2 linked regions of the Notamacropus eugenii genome follow. The protein of the gene in region 2 interacts with the protein of the main gene of each other region in a biochemical or structural test. Links are inferred from orthologs where the notes say so. Each region holds a gene or a part of one and is shown on either strand. Other genes may lie near its edges.

Evidence for each region. The genes of interacting proteins can lie anywhere in the genome.
Region 1: the proteins of CDKN1A (region 2) and PSMA3 form a complex in vitro, tested with the Homo sapiens proteins (4 studies listed by BioGRID). The link is inferred for Notamacropus eugenii from reciprocal best matches to the Homo sapiens genes CDKN1A and PSMA3.

The regions. Positions count from the first base shown.
Region 1 is NC_092872.1:301,067,276-301,077,469, reverse strand, and holds the start of PSMA3 (proteasome subunit alpha type-3), read right to left. Parts: upstream 4,340-10,194; 5' UTR 4,102-4,339; coding exon 4,081-4,101; intron 1-4,080. UniProt on the Homo sapiens protein: Component of the 20S core proteasome complex involved in the proteolytic degradation of most intracellular proteins. This complex plays numerous essential roles within the cell by associating with different regulatory particles.
Region 2 is NC_092873.1:94,100,452-94,110,032, reverse strand, and holds the start of CDKN1A (cyclin-dependent kinase inhibitor 1), read right to left. Parts: upstream 3,932-9,581; 5' UTR 3,594-3,931; intron 1-3,593. UniProt on the Homo sapiens protein: Plays an important role in controlling cell cycle progression and DNA damage-induced G2 arrest. Involved in p53/TP53 mediated inhibition of cellular proliferation in response to DNA damage.

The DNA.
Region 1 (10,194 bases), on a different chromosome or scaffold from region 2:
TGCTACAGAACACGATAGGAAGTCAGTTAGGGAAGAATACAAGTATTACGATAGTGTAGCAATGAGAGAATAGCAGTGACCCACACCCTAATTCCAGAATAGTCTCTCGGTACCTTTGCCAAGAAAACCTCAAACTGGGTCACAAAGACCGATGTCGGCCAGGACTGAAATGACTCAACAACAACATGAATTTATAATGGATTTGGTGAATGGGGTTATGGAACTCCTAATACTACCTGACGGTTCAAGAGTAGAAGCAAAAAGCTTACAAGAGAATTATCCAAAGCTGAGTACTGGTAGAATACAAACAAGAGAAAGTAAACAAAGAGGGAAAGAGTGGAAGACAGTGCTTTGCTAAACTGATTAACTATAGGGTCAAGACTATGAGAGAAAAAAAGTGAGGCCAGTGAGTGGAGACAAAGAGGGATGAAAGCACTGGAAGTGGTGGTGAAGGCAAAGTAATTTAGGAGGACTGAGGCAGATTGATTATAGTATTTTTTCTTTGACTGGAAATTCTAGATGTTGGCTGTAATTGTCATTAGAGGCAGCTGGTAGCACCTGGAGTCAGGAAGACAGGCAAAGAGGTGCCTTTCTTGTGCCAATGTATCTTTTCCTGTTTGTCCTAGATCTGTGACCTGAAACTGCGCAGAGAGCAACAAGATGCTAGTTGGTAGCTGTCCCAGTTGGGTATCCCAGTATGGGTCTAGGACCTCTGCTTACCTTGGTGGACAGCCTTTCCCTAGGCACTGGAATGTTCCATTTGCTGCATATTTGGCCCAACCCAATCCCAATGTTCACAAATCTCTGTGTCTCTGTGCCAATCTAAACTGAAAAAAATGACTCACTGTGACTTTTCTTTATTTCCCTATCAGAACTTGGTCTGGCTCATTTTCTAGATCTGTTTAGAGGAGGTTTTTTTTGTGGGGGAAGGGGTGGAGGGACATTTGCTTTACTGCTTCCTGCTACTCCTTCACATTGGCTCTCCCTCCACAGATGGTGATATGAAGGACATTAGATTATGACTAAAGAAGGGAATTATAGAACTTAAGATCAACAGTTTTAGATGATATGGTCTACTCTAATGTATGATACATATGGAGTGAATTTCAAAATGAAGATGAGTTACAAGTGATGGTGGCACAAAGGGGGATCTACAAGTAATAGTGGAGAATAAGGACTACACTAACTTTTCCTCCTGCCACATCAAGTGGCATGAAAAAAGAAACAACCAGCATCAGAGAGTGTTGCAAGGGGCTAATGAGGCATCTTCAGGAGAAAGATATGTTTCTGTAAGGACCAGAAATAAAAGATCTAGGATTAAGGGGTCCTTATTATTACTATTGGGGATTTTAAAGGGTATAATGGAAAGATGGCAAAGGTAGAGATTAGTGCCTAAATCTGTACTTAAGGTAAGAGTTTTAAATGATTAAATCACAAGGATTACAAGGGCATGAAGTGCAAGATTCCTGGACAAGGGAAATGTAACAGTTGACTGGTATAGGGTGAGTGGTTGAGGGTGAAAAGGTATAGGATAAGACTCCAATTATTGTTGTCTTATCCCCCAACATTTAATCAATTACCAAGCTCTGTCCATTTTAATTCCATCTCTCTCATATCCATGCCCATCTCTTCATTCATGTGGTACAGTGGGAAAGCACATTAGATTTGTAAGGTTTGAGTTCAAATCCAGCCTCTGACACTGTGTGACCCTGAGCAAGTCCTGTAATCTGTCTCAATTTCTTTATCTGTAAAATAAATACTAGCACCTACCTCACAGCATTGTTTTGTTGACCAAATGAAATGACACATGTAAAGTAATTTGCAAACGTTAAAGCAATATATGAATGCTAGCTACGATCATTTTCTGAATGACTTTTCTCTGAACCTCAATTTCCATATCTGTGAATGAAAGGGGTTGGACCAGCTGGTCTCTAAGGTACCTTCCAGCCCTAAATCTAAGACTGTGACAATTACCCTTGTTTAGGCCCTCATCCGTAACCTCTTACCTGATCTCCTGCAATATTCTCCTATTCGGTCTCCCCCTGCCTTCAGTCTTCCACTTCTACAATCTATCCTCTGCACAACTGACAGAGTAATATCCCTAAAGCATAGGTACGATCACATCATTCCCTTTGCTCAAGAGCCAGTGGCTCCTATATTTTCTAAGATCAAATACAAATTCTTCTCTGGCATTTAAAGCCCTCCATAACCAAGTTCTCTAACCTGTCATTCCAGACTGATTTCATAACACTTTCCCTCATATATCAATTTAAATTCTAAACAAACTAGTCTCTTGCTGTTTCCTATATATAACATTCTATCACCATGCCTTTGGCACAAGTAGTCCCCCCCATTCCTAGAATGCTATTCCTCCTATTCTCCACCTTTTGGAATTCCCAGTAGCTTTTAAATGCCTTGTGTAGACCATATTACTTATCTTCATAAATGTTTATACCTGATAGAATGTAAGCTCCTGGAGATGAGAGCCTGTTTCACTTCTATCTTTGTATCTCCAAAATTGTATTTCATTAACTTATATATTGAATTCACTTAATAAATATTCTTGGCCTACCCATCTGAAGGCCAGTAATTTTGGGCATCACAGGCAGTGAACAGGGCAGTAATTTTTAAACGAGATCAATCAATCAGCAGCATGTGTTTGGGACTAGAGGAAATAGCATGCTTTTGTAACATTCTGAGCAAGAGAGAAAGAGAACATGAAGTGGAGTGGTGACAATGAAATGAAAAGACAAGGGGTAAGAAAGGCAGTGTGGCAAAGCATAAAGAACGTGGCCGGTGAAATCAAGAAAGACCTGGATTGTAATGACCTTGGGTAGCACTTGCATCTCTGAAAGTCAGAATGATGCTTGCAATCAATATTAACCATACAGGGATGGTGTCAGGGAACACTTTGTAAAATTTAAAAGTGGTACTTATGGATTATGCATTGTCTTAGAAGTTTCCATGAAAAAAACTCAACTATTTTTCCTCCTGGTAACTTGAGAGAGAGAGAGAGAGAGAGAGAGAGAGAGAGAGAGAGAGAGAGAGAGAGAGTGTGTATCTGCTAGGGAGCGATAGATAAACATTAGGGTTAGGGATCTCACTTTTAACAAATGCATATACATCACAGGAAGTTAGCAGAGGCACAGAATTTAGCTGAGACGGAAGGTAGGAAAGTTAAATAATTCCCAGGAGAAAAACTAGCTACCGGACGCTGACTTTTTTTTTTTTTTACCGTATTAAAGCCTAACTGCCAAGTGAAGTAACTTGAATTTAGAACCAGGCTTTACAAAGCATAAAACACCCGTTGTCTTGCACAGTCTGTCTCCACACTCTATCTCGTAAAGAGGACTACGGGGGAGGGGAGGAGAGCGCAAGCTTGAAAAAAAAAAGCCTAGTGTAACAACCACCACCAAAAGAACAGCTCTCAGCCAGATTTCTCTGTTCCTAACGATCATCTTTCAGAGTTCCGGCACAAGGGCAGGACTCTTTGGGGCCTTCTTCGGAGCCTGGGTTTCTGTTTCTTTATTTTGGGGAAGGATTAGGGCGGAAATGCAGAATTCCACGAAAGGAGCCCCGTGACTCAGCAGCGCGCCGAGGCCTCGGGTCCCTTCAGCCAGGGGCCTCGGGTCACTCGAGTCTCAGGGGCCCGGGATCCCACCAGCCTCCAGGCTTGGGAAGAGATAAGGCGTCTCCTGGCCCCCTCAACCCTTCCTTCTCCCCTCCCGCCAATCCGGCCCGCGCGCTGGGCCTTCACTACTTTCGGTTTCCTCAGCCGGCTAAAGAAAATGACTCGGCAAAGCTAGGGAGGCCCCGGGCCCTCGGCGCACGCTGGGCCGCCGGGGTCAGGAACATCACGCTCCTGGGGCGCGGTTTCCTAGGATCCGGGACTCTAGGACACGTTTTCGGAGGCTTCTGGGGCGGGGGGCGGGGGTCCCGCGGTGGGGGACGCGTCTTTCCCAAAGGAGAAACCGGCGGGCAGGGCCGGAGGTGGTGCAGGGGCGGAGGGTGCGCTCTGAGCGGCCTCTGCTTCCCCCTCGGTCCTGTTCCCCTGATCCGCGCGGAGAACACAAGACTCACCCCGGTCCCGATAGAGCTCATGGCGCCCAGCCACCACAGAGACGAGGAGAAACCTTTCAAGGCCTAAAGCGCCGCCGCTCCTCACGCCACAGACCGGCGCAAACGAACAACGCCCGCCGTCATTGGCCCGAATTTCAACCAATAGCCTCCAGGAGCTGGACCTCTTCTCTCGCCAGGCCTAGGAGCCCAGAGGCAAGGGAGGCGGGGGTGGTGGCAAGGGAGCACGCGTGCGCAGAAATGGTGTGGGTTCGAGGGGAGGGGAGGGGAGGTGATCTCGACGTCCTCCTTTCCTAGCTGGAGGCTGGCGGAGCTAGCGCGCAGCGCCTTTTGTGTCCTCCTCTACCGCACTGAAGCAGTGGGCCGCGGTGCCCCTCCCCCAACGACTCCCTGCGCCCTTTCCCAGCATCTCCTTGAGAAAGGAAGAGATCCCGGTAAACGCAGCTGAGGCGTAAAAAGCCTTATGGACGAGCCAGCAAGGGCCCCTAAAGAGACGGACACGATGCAGCCAAGATCAGAAGGGAAGCAGAAGTCTGGGAAACGCTTTTTACAGCCACGCTCTCTGAAAAGGGCCGCATTTCTAAAGTATCTGGAAAACTGGGTCAGATTGATAAGAATACAGATCGTTCCTCAATCGATAAACTGTCAAAGGACGTGAACAGCCAATTTTCAGAGGAAAAAATGAAAGCTATCCGTAGTCATAGGAAAAAATGCTCCAAATCCACTGCTGATTAAAGAAATGCGCATTAAAGCAGCTCTGAGGCACCACCTCACACTTGTAAAATTGGCTGATATGATGGAAAAGGAAAGTGATAAATGTTGGAGAAGATGTGGGGAAATGGAACACTAGTGGATTGCTGGAAGAGTTGTAAACCCAACCAGCCAACTGTGCCCAGGAGGTCCTAACTGCATACCCTTTGATCCAGCAATACCACCAATAGATCGGGATCTAAAGAGATTGTTTTTTAAAAAAGGGTAAAGGACTTATTTATACACAAATATCGATAGCAACTCTTTTTGTGGTGGCCAAGAATTGGAAATTGAGAGCTGTCCATCAGTCGGGGAATGGCTGAACAAGAAGTCAGATTTGGGAGAGTAGTTCAGGTGTGAAAGAATTCACTTAGGTGATTTTTTTCTTAACTAATGGGAGCTTTATTACATGAAAGCTATACATGGATGTGGACCTTTTTTACTGTGGCCTTGAGGCTAAGTAAAAAAGGGTACTTATTTTTGAAGAACTAGGCATATGTAGACAGAAAGTCTATAGATGTTCAGGATGATGTAGTTTTAAGGATTTATGATGGTTGAAGATTAAGGATAAGGGAGAATTTATAGCACAGGATGAAGGAGATAGCTGCTTACAAAAGAAGAAATTTATGACACAGGATGAGGGGAAAGGGACTTTAGGATGCCCTCAAGTTACAGGATAGGTTACAGAATGAGCTCCAACCCTGCCTCAGGAGGGTCTTCACAAAGTATTGGAAAAGCAACTCTTAATATTCTTTTTAACCCTTAGGGCATTGATGTTATATCCACATCATCTGAATGTAAGGGAATACTATTGTTCCATAAGAAATGATGCACAGGCAGATTTCAGAAAATCCTGGAAAGACTTACATGAACTGATGCTGAGTGAAGTGATCCAAACCAGGAGAACATCGCACACAGTGACAGCAACATTGCATGATGACCAACTTTGACATACTTAGCTCTTCTCAGTAATGCAACAATCCAAGACAATTCCAAGGGACTCATGATGGAAAATGCTATCCACATTCAGAGAAAAACTGTGGAGTCTGAATGAAGATTGAAGCATATTATTTTCTCTTTTTTTTCTTTCTTGTGGTTTTTCCCTTTTGTCCTGATTCTTCTTTCACAACATGACTAGTGTCAAAATATGTTTAATATGATTGTACATGTATAGCCTATATCCGATTGCATGCTGTCTTGGGGAGAGGGGAGAAAAAATTTGGAACTCAAAATCTGTGAAAATGAATGTTGAAAAATAAATGAATGAATGAATGAATAAATATGGAAGAAAAAAAAGTTGTGGTCCATCCAGCCTAAGTATTTGGGCAGTGACACTGGACCAGTCTTGTGTAGAGGCTGATGTGTGTATGTATACATGCATGGCTTCTGTAAATTTCCTGAAGTAGGGGGAGGGGACAGGAATGTACCTGGAGAGACTTTAAAAGTTCAATCTGTATCATTGACAGTTTTTCTATTACTTTCTTAAGCCTAGACAATTAACAAAAGAAGAAGAAATGAAGCCCTAATTTGTAGTCTTTGCAAATTTCAGAAGTGTAAATGCCTATACTGAAAATTTGACAAGAGGCTCCCCCAAGCAGGTGGGAGCTGACTCTCTCACACTCCTGTGGAGAACCCACCTCTTTTTTCGGATCTTTTGAAACTTATTTGAATATGGAAATATGTTTTGCGGGACCACATCTATAATTGAAATCATATAGCTTGCCTTCTCAAAAGATAGGGGAGGGGCTGGAGGGAGAGAATATGGAACTCAAAATATTAAAAAAATGAATGTCAAAGTAAAATTTTTTTAAATAAAAATAATTACAGGAAAAAAACTGATTTTTTTACCTCTAAGTGTCATTTAGATATGCAATATTATATTATTTGATTCAATAAGATAATAAGGCCTGAGTTTGAACCCCATCTCAGACACTGAGCTGTGTGACCCTAAGCAAATCCCTTAATTTCTTCCTGCTTCAGTTTCCTCTTCTGTAAAATGGGAATAATAATAATAATATCATCCCTACCTCTTAGAGTTTAGGAGCAAATGAGATAATATGTAAAGCCCCTTGCAAACTCTAAAGTATGCCATAAATGTTGGCTAATTATTGTTCATTAACATCTTAAGTAGCTAGTTCAACTCTTATGTGCATACTCTGGTGAATAGTAATAGCAGTCCTTTACTGAGAGCTTTAAGGTTTGCAAAGGGCTTTGCATACATTATCTCATTTGATCCTCAGAAGCAGCCTTTGAGGTTGAGTGTCAGTTATTCAAGAAAAACATACTGGAAGAAGTTAAGTGATTTGCCTAGTGTCTAAACAGCTAGTAAATAAATGAAACAATTCAAACTCACATCTTCCTATATCCCAGACCAGTATTCTATCGACTATGCTGATAATTTCCATCAATGGACTTCTAAAGTAGTCCAATCATACAACTGAAAAATATAAATGTCAAAATGGGATGATAACTGCTATTAAAGAGGTAACATGCTGTAAAGATTCAAGGGAGATGGAAATCACATCTAAAGGGCAGTGTTGAGATCAGATTTTGGGAGAGCAGTTTGGGTGAGAAAGAATTCACTTAGACTTTCTCCGTAGCCATTTGGAGATTTTATCATCAGACCCATGCTGCTTCATGTAATAAAACTCCCAAAGGCTACAAAGAAGGTCTAAGTGAATTCTTTCCCACCCGAACCACTCTCCCAACATCTGACCTCAACATTTATGACGCTGAAACCCAGGATTCCACATATTAATTGGACTCCACTAACCTTCTCCTAAGCCACTGGGATAAAGAGATAAGCTCCGTTTCCTTGTTCTCTTCCCCAGGCCTTTTCTGCTCCCACTATTGTACTATAAGAAATGATGAGCAGGCAGACTTCAGAAAAACTTGCAAAGACTTATATGAATGGATGCTGAGTGAAGTGAGCAGAACCAGGAGAACATTGTACACAGTAACAGCCATAGTACATGATGACTGATTTTGATAGACTTAGCTTTTTTCTGCAATGCAAGCTCCTAAAACAAGTCCAAAGGATTAATGACAGAAAATGCCATCCACATGCAGAGAAAGAACTGTGGATTCTGAATGCAGAGTGAAGCAGACTATTTTTCTTTTGTTTTCCTTTCTCATGGTTCCTCCCATTCATTCCAATTCTTCTATACAACATGACTAATGTGGAAATATGTTATAGGACATTAGTATATGTAGATAATAGTATATGTAGAGCCTATATCAGATTGCATGCCATCTTGGGGAAGGGGGAGGGAAAAAATTAAAATTTGTGGAAAAGAATGTTGAAAACTAAAAATAAACTTTAAAATAGTATAATAACATTATAATAGCAAAAAGAAAAAAGAAAAGGCCAAGGTCCCCCACTGCATCCTGGGCCTTTTTCAGTTGTCCTGATCTATATCTTGCCACTGGACCCAGATGACTCTGGAGGAGAAAGTGAGGCTGGTGATTTTGCCAGCCCTACTTCCCTCCAATCCAGTTCACTTGCATGTCATGGCTTCTCCTCCCTCATGTCATGGTCCTCTTTGACAATGAAGGACAAACAACACCTACAGTATCTGACAAACCTAAAGACACAAGCATTTGGAATAAGAACTCAACATTTGGCAAAAATTGCTGGGAAAACTGGAAAGCAGCTTGGCAAAAACTAGGCAGAGATCAGCATCTTACCAGAATACTAAGATAAGGTCAAAATGGATAGATGATTCAGATGGTCAAGGGTTATATCATATGTAAATTAGGAGAGCATGGGAAAATGAACCAGTTAGATCTATGGATAAGGGATAAATTTGTGCCCAAACAAGAAATAGAGAGTATCATGGGAAGCAAAAGAGATAATTCTGATTACATGAAATTAAAAAGGTTTTGTACTCATAAAAAAAACCCTGAATATAGCCAAAATTAGAAGGAAAACAGGAAACTGGGGTGGGGAGGGAATTTGCTGCAAGTTTCTGTGATAAAGGCCTCATTACTCAAAAAGATAGGGAACTGAGCCAAAAAATAAAAGCCATTACTCACTTGGCAAATATATGAAGGGTGAATTTTCAAATGAAGTAATCAAAGCTATCTATAAACATAAGAAAAAATGCTCTAAATCACTATTGACTAGAGAAATATAAATTAAAGTAACTCAAAGGTACCCACCTCACACCTATCAAATTGACTACCATTACAGAAAAGAAAAATGGCAAAAAAGGGAAAATGATAAATGTTGGAGATGTGAGAAAATTGGAACAGCAATGCATTGTTGATGGAGTTGTAAACTAATCCAACTATTCTGGAGAACAATTTGGAACTAGGTCAAAGAGCTATAAAACTGCACACCCTTTGGCCCAGCATCACCACTACTACTAGGTCTGTATACCAAAAGACCAAAAAAATGGAAAAGGACCTACTGTTATAAAAAATTATTTATAGCAGCTCTTTTTTGGTGACAAAGAACTGGAAATTAACAGGATATCCATCAACTGGGAAATGGCTGAGCAAGTTGTGGTATATTGTAATGGAATATTATTATGATATAAGAGATGATAAGCAGAATGCTTTCAGAAAAACCTGGAAAGACTTACATGAACTGATGCGAAATGAAGTTAGCAGGACCAGAAGAACATTGTACACAGTAACAATAGCATTGTGCAATGATCAACTGTGAATGACTTAGCTATCCTCAGAAACACAAGGATTCAAGGCAGCTCTAAAGGACTCATGATAAAAATTGTTATCCACCTCCAGAAAATGAACTGATATAGTCTGAATGCAAATAGAAGCATACCTTTTAAAAACTTTATTTTTCTTAGTTTTTTTAATGTGTTTTTTTCGCAGAATGATTATGGAAATATATTTTACATAACTGCATGGGTTTAACCTATATTAAATTACTTGCCTTCTCAATGAGAGGGGAAGAAGAGAGGAAGGGAGATAGTTTGGAACTCAAAATTTAAAAAAAAAATTAATATTAAAAACTTTTTCATGTAATTGGAAAAAAAAAATTTAAGAAAAAAATTTGTTGAATTTAAAAAAGAAAAAAGAGGGTGATCCATAGTCCAAGGCTGCAGAGAGATCCAGAAAGATGAGGATAGAGAAAAGCCGGCAATTATAAGAGTAAGCTATGAATACTCAGATTTCTTCAGTCTAAAATTAAAGTTTAGAGGATTATTGGACTCTGGATTCTGGAGAACCCCCATATCTTGTTGAGGGCCAGGATGGAGTGCTATTGGCAAAGTTCAGGACAGACCTTTGAGGAAACTGTTCTTTGAGACTGTGCTCATAATCATTCAGAATGGCTCTCCAAGGCATCCCCCTCCCTATGTTGCTGTCTCTGTGAGATAAACAAGAGAACTACAGAATACA
Region 2 (9,581 bases):
ACAAAGATGACAAAACCAGAATAGGGCTCCTCCACTCACTCCACTCTCTCAGTAAACAGAGCTTCACTCTCCAGCATATTCCATTCCCATCTCTCAAGATGGGAAATATATCCTGTGCTGACCTTCCCCATTCCTTCTCACCCTCCCTCCCATCCTTCCCTGCCCAGGACAGGATTAGAATGGAGTAAGATTGGGGAAAAGGAGCAGAGGGTTTATTTTCAGTGTCCCTATAATCCAAGGATGGCTTGTCAGGTGGCTACAACTAGGACTTTGTTAAGTGGCAACATCAGAGAAGTTGACACAATGTCATTGCTGAACAAATGTTTTACACCAGGGAGAAGTTACAGAGCAACAATGCCCCATCCCAACTTGTGCCTTTGAGTCTGAATCCCAGTTCAGACATTTATTAGTTACGTGACCTTGAACAACTTACTTCCCTTTTAAGGTCTCAGTGCTCGGTACTACTCTGCCGGCAGGTAGGTGGTACAATGGACATAGTGCTGGGCCTAGAGTCAAGAAGATCTGAGTTCAGATGTGAGCTCAGACATTTACTAGCTGGATGACCCTGAGCAAGTCACTTAACCCCGTTTGCCTCAGTTTCCTTGTCTGTAAGATGAGCTGGAAAGGGAGATGGCAAACACTCCAGGATGTTTACTAAGAAAACCCCACATGGGGTCAGGGAGAGTCTGCTATGGCTAAACAGCAGCGACATATCCCACTCTAATAAAATGAAGGGATTGTTCTAGCTCCTTGAGGGCAGGGTATCTCCAGTGCCTACAACTTAGTGCCTGGGATGTGGTAGGCACTTACTAAACTCTTACTAAAATCTGACTGATAGGTGTTTAATAAATGTTGTTCTACTGATCAGCTCTAGAGTCTACAAATTCCAGGCATCAGCCTGGTAAGGAAAGGGTTATTTTTGCAAAGTGGAGCAAATCAGGAGAAAAGACCGGAGTAGAGTGCGTGATGAAATGCTGGCTGGGTGTACATGCCTGCTGAGCTCAGGACAGAAGGTTCTCTGGGAGTGAGACACAGGAAACAAAGGCCCCTAGGCAAGAGTCATTTGGGAAATTTCTTTTGAGAAATGCTGGGGTAGGGTGGCTAGACTATGCAGCCCCTGGTCCAGGAGGGGGCGCCTGCCTCTAGGAAATCCCCCCCCTCACCCTTCCACCCCCCACTTCTGCAGCCTGCTCTGGTGCCTAGGGCAGCGGGACAGTCCAGAAGGGAGAAGTTGTAGTGAGTCAGTTTCCTGAACTGCCAGCCCGCCAAAACTTGGAGGGAGGCACGTCACAGGCTCCTGGGGAGGGGCAGGGGGAGAGGAGGGTGGAGGGGTGGGAGAGGGATGTGAACACGTCACGCTGAGCCAGCCGGGCTTCCGAAACTGCACATGACACTGTTGGGAAATAAGCCTCTCTCACTCCGCACAGACACAGACAAACAAAGGCAGAGCGAGGCAGAGGCACGGACAGACAAAGACGGACACGGCCGGGAGACACGGGAGCACATCTGTGCCCCGGCCCCAGCTCCGCACCCGAGCCACCCCAGGAGACAACTGGCTAACTGGGCAAGAAAAATAGCCGCGGGAAGCCAAACCCCCAGGACTAACAACACCCCGCTACTCTTCGCGACGTGCCTGGAGCGGAGGGGGAGGAGGAGGGGGCCTGCGGAGGATCTGGGCATCGCCGCCCACTTAAAAGTATCCAATTCAGTGCAGTGCACAGCAAAGCAATTCTGCAAGTATTTGCTGGGCGGGCACACACGTGACCTCCGTGTGTGTGTGTGTGTGTGTGTGTGTGTGTGTGTGTGTGTGTGTGTGCGTGCGCACGTTCTCCAGGCTGGCCAGGATCTGAAGCCAGGAGCCCTAGTACACAAACACACACGCCTTCGTCGTTTGCATACACACACCGGAAATACCCAACTAGGAAAGGTGCCTTCGCTGCCTCCATTACCACCCCCCCGCTCTGGTCACTGGGTCACCGGCAGCCCTAGGGGCTGGGGAGAGTGGGCCCAGCATGGAACATCCCCAAGTCTCACTAGCAAAAGGGTAGCGAGGCTCCCCAGACTCCCCACTCCTCCCTCGGTCCCCGCCCCCCTGGGTCTGGGAGGGGCAAGGTCCGGCTCCCGCACAGCGGCAGAGACAAGAAGCCGGCAGGGGACCAGATACTAGAAGGGGATGTCAAGGAGAAAGAAGTCGTCCATCTCCGAAAGAGACCGCCACCTCGAGAATGCCTCGGAAAAATAAGGGAGGATGACTGTGCCCATTTTCCAGAAGGATAACCGAGGCACAAAGACTGCAGGCACCCAGGTGCCCCGGCTTTCCAGGAGCTTAGGTTTCTCCTCCCTGGACCAGGAGCAAACATACAAAAAGCCGAAACCTAGGGGAGGTCTCTGGCCGCTGTCCCCTCAACTCCTCTCGGGGGCCAGCCCCTTCCGCCCCCCCCATACCCACACACACCTCCCTTTGTTAGGGGGTAGCTCCGGAGACTGAGGCTCACAGAAGCCATGGCACTCTCCACACACTCCCCCCACTCAGCTCTCCTCCCCCCCGGGGTGGGGCTCTGACCTCACCCCGCCCCACTCCCCGGGGTCTCCGTGTCACCCGTGAGTCACCTCCTGCTCCCCCTCCCTTAAGGGACAAGTCCCCGCACGTCCCAGGGGGCCGGCGACACCACCCTCCAGACCCGGAGCTGAGTTGGCCAGGCGGGCCGGGAGAAGGGGCTAGCCTGGGGGTGGGGCTCGGGGGACAAGGATTCCGGGCCGGGCCGGCGGGGAGGGGTACAGGGGAGGTGGCCTCGGTCCCTGTCTCCCGTGCCAAAGCAAAGAGGAGAGGGGTGGTGCCTGTCGCTGAAACTGCGACATCGCCGTAGCCGGCTGGGATCCTCCACTCCTCCGGGATCCACCAAGGAACCGGCCGCCGGACCCCGAGACATCCTATTCGGAACCTACCACGATCGATCAGCCTGGGGATCTCCGCCCCGGGGCGGGCCTAAGCTTTTAACCTGCCGGGCATCACCCACTCCGGAGCAGAGGAGTCCGAAACTCGGCTCCCACCCCCAGCCCGGGCCCGGTTTGCATCGAGGGTGGGGGGTGATCCTCGCCCTTCTCACTCACCCCAGCTATGCTAGTGAGAAAGCAAGAAACGGGCGGGGTCCCCGAATCGGGGCTACGACCCCCTTCCTAACACGGACGAGCTCTAGGGATATCCCAGTCCCCCCCACCCTGTACCTTCTCTCTAGCCTCCTCCTTGGGTCCCAAGAAGGCTAAGAAAGAAAGGGTTACGCGGAGACCTGGGCTGGACCGGGCCGGGGCCATTCAGTAGCGACCAGAGAAGAGAAATCGGTGGGGAGGGGGCGCTCCAACAAGAGGCCCCTTCTCCCCACCCCAAGTCGGAGACTCGGGCCCACCTTCCCCGGGAAGAGCCTTGGACAGCCCCCCAGCCGGGAGGAATGCAGGACCCCCTCCTTACACACTTAGACACACACACACACACACACACACACACACACAAGTACCAGTAGAATTAAGGGCCTCTCCAACGCTCAAATCCTGCCTCCTTCCAGTCCTTAAATCTTCAGCTCCAAATCCCCTCTCACCTTCTCGGTCTCCCTCAGGATGTCCCGATCAAGCGTTGCCTACTCTGCGTCCCTGCCCTTGCCCCAGCTCTCGAACCCGGTTCGGTGGCGTCGCTCACACCTCCTCTTCTGGCTGGGCTGCCCGGCTTCGGAGCCTATTATAGCCGCACAGTCTCCGCCTCCGCTGAGCAGTCCACCCAAACTCCGCCCTCCGGGCTCGGCCGCGCAGGGCGCGGCGCCAGGCTCCGCGAGTGAGTGAGTGACAACGGGGCTGGGGACTGCGGCCGCCCGGCTCCGCAGCCTAGCCTGAGGGCTGGGGGCAGGGGCGAAGCCGGGCCCTGGCAGCCAGAAACTCTCCTTTCCCCGGCCGAGACTCCCGCGCGCGCGCGGTAGCGCGCGCACGAATGCACGGACACAGACACACAGACACACAGACACAGTCATACGTACATATACACACTTTTGTAGTTCTAGATTTGTCCCCCGGGTCGCATTTTCCAGAAAACTTAAGCTATGAAATCAACGTTCCCACTGGGAAGGACGTAAGGGTCCTGAAAGAAAGGCGATGAGTTTCTTAAGCCCTCTATGGCTAGCTTCACAACTCCTCTGGGTAGAAATTTACCGCGAAAGCGATGGAAGAAAATTAATGGCAGTGATTACCTCTTACAGTTGCCTAACATCTTAAGCTAATTAATGCACTTTCATTTTCTGTGTCTTTTCTGGCTCTTCGTGAAGGTCTCCTGTGTCCTTCTCCTGGGGGTCCCAAAGAACCCGGGACAAGGATCGCCATGATATCCTCATAGAAATGTGTGACTAGAAAAGGACTTAGGCAGGTGATGGACTGAGAGTGCCCCAGTGCCCCAGAGGCAGATTTATCAGACTTTGGGGTAGATGTCTCGAAAATATTTATGGGAAAACATGAACTAGAATGGCACAGAAGCGCTTCAGAGCAGCTCTGACTGAGGAACTACCTGCCTCAGGTTTCAGATCTAACGTACTGATTGGCAATGGCATAGCATCGAAGAGTGGGACCATCCAGGCCAACACCCTCTTTCTCTGGATGACGAGGTTAGGAAGAGAGACCAAGGATAGCTAATGGAAGTGCTGGGATTGAACCCGGGTCATCTGTCTTCAAAAGCAGGGGTCTTTCTGCCACCCTCTGTCCTTTGACCCCTAATTCGAGGGTCTTCTCTCTACACCCTTTATATTAACCAATCCAGAATAAACCACATGGGAGGGAAACCAAATTCCATTTCCATATCCTCATCCAGCAATTCCACCGTATTCTACCCCTAGCTGAGGTTACCCCAAATTGTTCTGTAACAAAATTACTGATAGAAAGTTGGTGGGTCTATGAAGAGGAGGATCACATCTATGTAAGTAAACAACCCTTCCTCTGTCTAGCTAAGTCCTGAGCTGCCCTGAAACAAAGTACAATATTGGGAGACTGGCTCAGGAGGGGGGCTGATTCACCTGAGCCCTCCATTCCTGAAATTGAGGCCTGTAGTGGATGAGACTTTTCCCAGGTCACTCAAAGTGGATTGAAAGGCTAGAATCTGGATGTATAGCATTCACTCTCCTGGCCCCTCCCCCAGGGTTCTACTTTGCTATCTCTGTCTCAATGTGTCATCTCTGGAAGGGAGGTGATGTGATAATGTCTGTTATTTTGTGGCCCTTTGTTTGGCAGGTGGGAAGGGGAGGGAGAGGAAGATGGTATCGATATGTTCACGTTAAGTGGGAGAAACATTTTGAAAACATCAACCAGGCAATTTTTCCCTGTTCTAAATTGCTGCTTTCTTGGACTGCTGGGACAAATAGAAAATAGCCAGTCTTCCCCTCTCCCTTCCCCCACTCCACGATGAATCCTACCTTTCTTTCCTCACCTCAGATACCTGAAGCTCCTGCCCAGGAAACAGCTGAGGACTGAGGAGGGCATCTGGACAGAAACTCAAAAAACCAAACTAGAATCCAGGCTTTGCCATAGCAATGACGAAAGATAAAGTTGGTTCAGTGACTACAGAGTTCTGCCCAGACTTGTCCTTTCCTCTTTCCTTTGCTCTCAGAAAAAGGCACTGGACGCTGGGTTTGCTGACCCCAGCTGAAGAGAAGGCCTTCTTCATTTCTCCTGTCCTTATTACAGACTCTGGAGCAGAAAGAAGCTGGCCTTACTGGTAAGGATCACAGCCCCCTTCCCCACCCTCATCTCCTCCAAGTGGCCAAGGAATCTGACCTGTGGGGTCACTAGGCCCAAGCAGCTCTGCTGGTCTCAGGGGTGCAAACTGCTCACAGAACTTAGGCTCTTCCCTTGGGCAGGAGGAAGTCACAGGGGCTGAACTGGTCAACATGGCAGCTAAAGGGGGGCATATGGAAGAAACTCTACAGTGCCCTAGGAATCCAAAGAGCATGATTCAAATCCAGGCTTTCTCCCTTTCTCTTCTCTTCCAGTCCTGGTGGCCTTGAGCAAAATTGCCACTTTTCTGAGCCTTAATGTACTTGTCTGTAAAATAGGGATAGTTGCATTATCACCTCACAGGGTTATGAAGGAAAGTGGTAAAGCTTAGAGCCTTAAATACATGTAAGTTTTTGTTATTGTTACTGTTCTTGATATTGTCTTAGCTATTGTTATTATCATAATTCCCTCCTAGAGCTGTAACCAGGAATATTTGCAAAGCAACTGAATAGAGGTGGGGAGTGGGGGCTGCTGGAGGGCCACAGCAGTGGAGGTGCCGAGGACAGTTGGACCTCCACTGTACCTCTGGTACAGTTATATAAGGAGAGGCGAGGCCTTGTTATTGTCCCTAGGGTTGGGCTGAGGGGATGGGGAGGTACAACTGGGCAAGAAGACTCTGGAGATGGTGGCCTTCTCCTAGGATTCATCTCTCCCAGAATCCCTTCAAGGGTAAAGGCCAGCCAGCCCCCTGTTACAACACAACTGAACCTCTAGCAACCCAGGCCCCAGTAAACAATGAGACAAGTTTAGGATTGGGGTCACTCCAAGTAGGAAACATACTCCCAAGGGGTAAATGAACTTTCCTAGAGGTAGGCACCTTATGGCAAAGCTCCATGGCAACTACAGCTCACAGCTGGCCAAAATTAAAAAAAAAAAAAAGACTTGATTTTGCCTGTATTTTTCCTTAGGGATTAAAAAATAGTAGGGGCTCTCATGTATCTGGAGGGTTGCAGAGCTGTGATTCATATGTTTTGTCTGAAGAGAGAAAAAGGATCCTCCCATTTTACCTGGCTCTTGTGGTGAGACACATGCCATCTAGACCACTGTATGTTCAAGATGACAACTTCAAAAGACAAACCTTAGCAGGACTTGGTCCCATGGTGGAATTGTTGAAGAGGCAGGGCATAAAATAATAAGAAACCAGCCCTGCTGGGCCATTTAATGGGTGTAAATGGTCTTCCAACTCTCTTTATCTCCATTAGAAAGGTGGGGTGTACAAATGACAGTGAACACAGGGTGGGGGACTTTGTGGATGATTCTGGAACTGTGGTATTTCAGAATCTTTGAAAATATTCTGCTCATTCATCTTGAGTGGATCATAGGGCCATAGGATTATAAAATTAGCAAAGGATCGATTAAGGCTTCATGGGGGTAGGTGGAAAGAGGACATTCTTGGTGTTGTTGAAATGTCAATTTTTGTGTTTACCCACCTGCTTCATTTCAATATGAGCTCTTGGATTATGGTATCTCTTCCGAAAAGATACCCTTGTCTGATCTGGGAAACAATTCCTGGAGTTCTATAAAGTTCAGTCCCCAAACTGTTACCATTAGCACTGGAAAACTCTTTTCTAGGGGTAAATGATCTCATTACTAGCATTGCTTGAGAATTCAGCTTTAAGGAGGTCTGCTTGATGAAGACAATTACTGAATGTTCACTCCGATTTTGACAATTATAAATCTGCCTGAATTTGGTTCCGATATAGTTATGTTGGTGTTCATTTGTGCAGGTAGGTGGTGCTATGGATAGAGCGCTGGATTTAGAAGTAGGAAGACCAGAGTTCAAATCCTGCCCCTGCCCCTGCCCCTGGACAAATCCAAAAAAATCCAAATCCAAAAAAAATAATGGGACCATCATGTGCTTGGGTAGTTGTGAGGATCAGGCAAGTAAAACATACACTATTTCGTCAGTCATTTCAATTGTGTTGACTCTTCATGACCCCCCACTTGGGGTTTTGTTTGAAAAGATAGTGGAGTGGTTTGCCATATCCTTCTCCACCTCATTTGACAGATGAAGAAACTGAGGCAAACAGAATCAAGTGACTTCCCCAGGGTCACACAGCTGGTTTTGAACTCAGGGAAATAAGTCTTTCTGAGTCTTGGCTAGGCATTCTGTCCATTGCAAAATTGAGGCAGAGAGAGGTCAAAAACTTGCCCAGGGTGTTTGAAGCCAGATTTAAATTCGTGTCTTTCAGACTCTAGGCCCACTGTTCCAACTAGCTGCCCTAGTACTTTGTAAACCTTTCTGTATAAATGTTATCTCTCATCAACTATGATAATTATCATTATTAATCACACCAGACCAGCATTTTCACTGACCCCAGTCAAAATATGCCAACTTTCTTAAGGGAGCTTCATATAGCAAATGGAGCCCTTGCACGCTGGAGCCAAGAGAGACCTGAGTTTAACTCCAGCACCAGGATTGAGTCTTGTGTAATCCTGGCTAATCTCTGACTCTGATTTCCTCATCTCTCAGTTCCTTGATGGGAAAACATTTATTTCCATTCCCTGCATTGCTTTACACGTAGCAGACACTCCATTATTTAAGCTTGTTCACTTGAAAATGGAGAAAATAAACTTGTGCATCCTACTTCACAGAGTTTTGTGAAAAAATATGTAGGAGGTGCATGCTCAGTGTTTGTATTTGCAATCTGAAGATGCTACAGAGAAATGTGGAAAATATCCCTCTGCCTTTTTTTCAAATTGTTCATTTCATGTCAGCTGCTAAAATGATCATTAATTAATATTTTATGTTAATATTAATAACATTTATGTCCTTAATATGAAAAAGTGCATGTTGACTTGACTCCACCAAAATCCTCCTCTGATATCCTGTCATGGCCCAGAGGTGACCCTGGGTGCCCAAAAGCTCCACTGATCAGCTACAAGCCCTAAGAGCCCCTATCAAGCTATGGAGCAATACCCAAGTAGTTGATCCATCAGGAATCATTGATTAAACTGTTTCAGCCACTATATAAGACAATGGAGATAGACAGACAAAAATGAAACTCTGGTTACCCTCAAGGGACTTGTATTCTATGAGAGGACCAGTCCAGCCAGAGAGGTTCATTAATAGAAATCTGACACCAGAAGATAGATTGATTTCTCCACAGCCATTCCCAAGGATGGCCGTAATCTAAGTAAGACAGGGAGGAGGCATCTTTCCTGAGTGAAACCATAGCTCTTTTGCATAGTGAAGGAAAGTTTTTTTTCTGGTGATAAGTGGCAGCTTGGTGTCCTCCTGGTCCCAATTCTATGTGCCCACCCTAGACTGGGAGGAAGAGATGATTAAACAAATAGAGTCTGCCCTCTTCCAGAGACATCTCTCCCCTTTCCTTATCCCTGAAGAAGCAGATGGCTGGTCCTTTGGATAGCAACAGGCCCAGTGAAGAGGCAGCCCACTCAGGTAACCCCCTGGATGGACCAGAATGAATCATGACCTGATTAGACTCTAGCTGGTTTAGTGCCATTTACCCAGGACTCCATCAGCCTAGTGCAAGCTGAGACATGCCCCAAAGAGCCTGGTGGACCACACCCAAAAACAAAGCCTGTGAGGTACATATTGTCAAGCGGGCTCTTGGTCATCTGTTTAAAACTAAAAATAGGCTTTTGGGTGGGAATGAGGCACAGCCATTGAAAAATCTCAAGAATGGAACTGTAGGTCTGACTCTGCCATTAACTTACTATGTTAACTAACCTAAAAGAAGTCAGGTCCCTTCTCTGGGCTTCTGTAATATCCTATGAAAAATAAGGGGGCTGAAGAAAACGATCCTCAAAGTCAT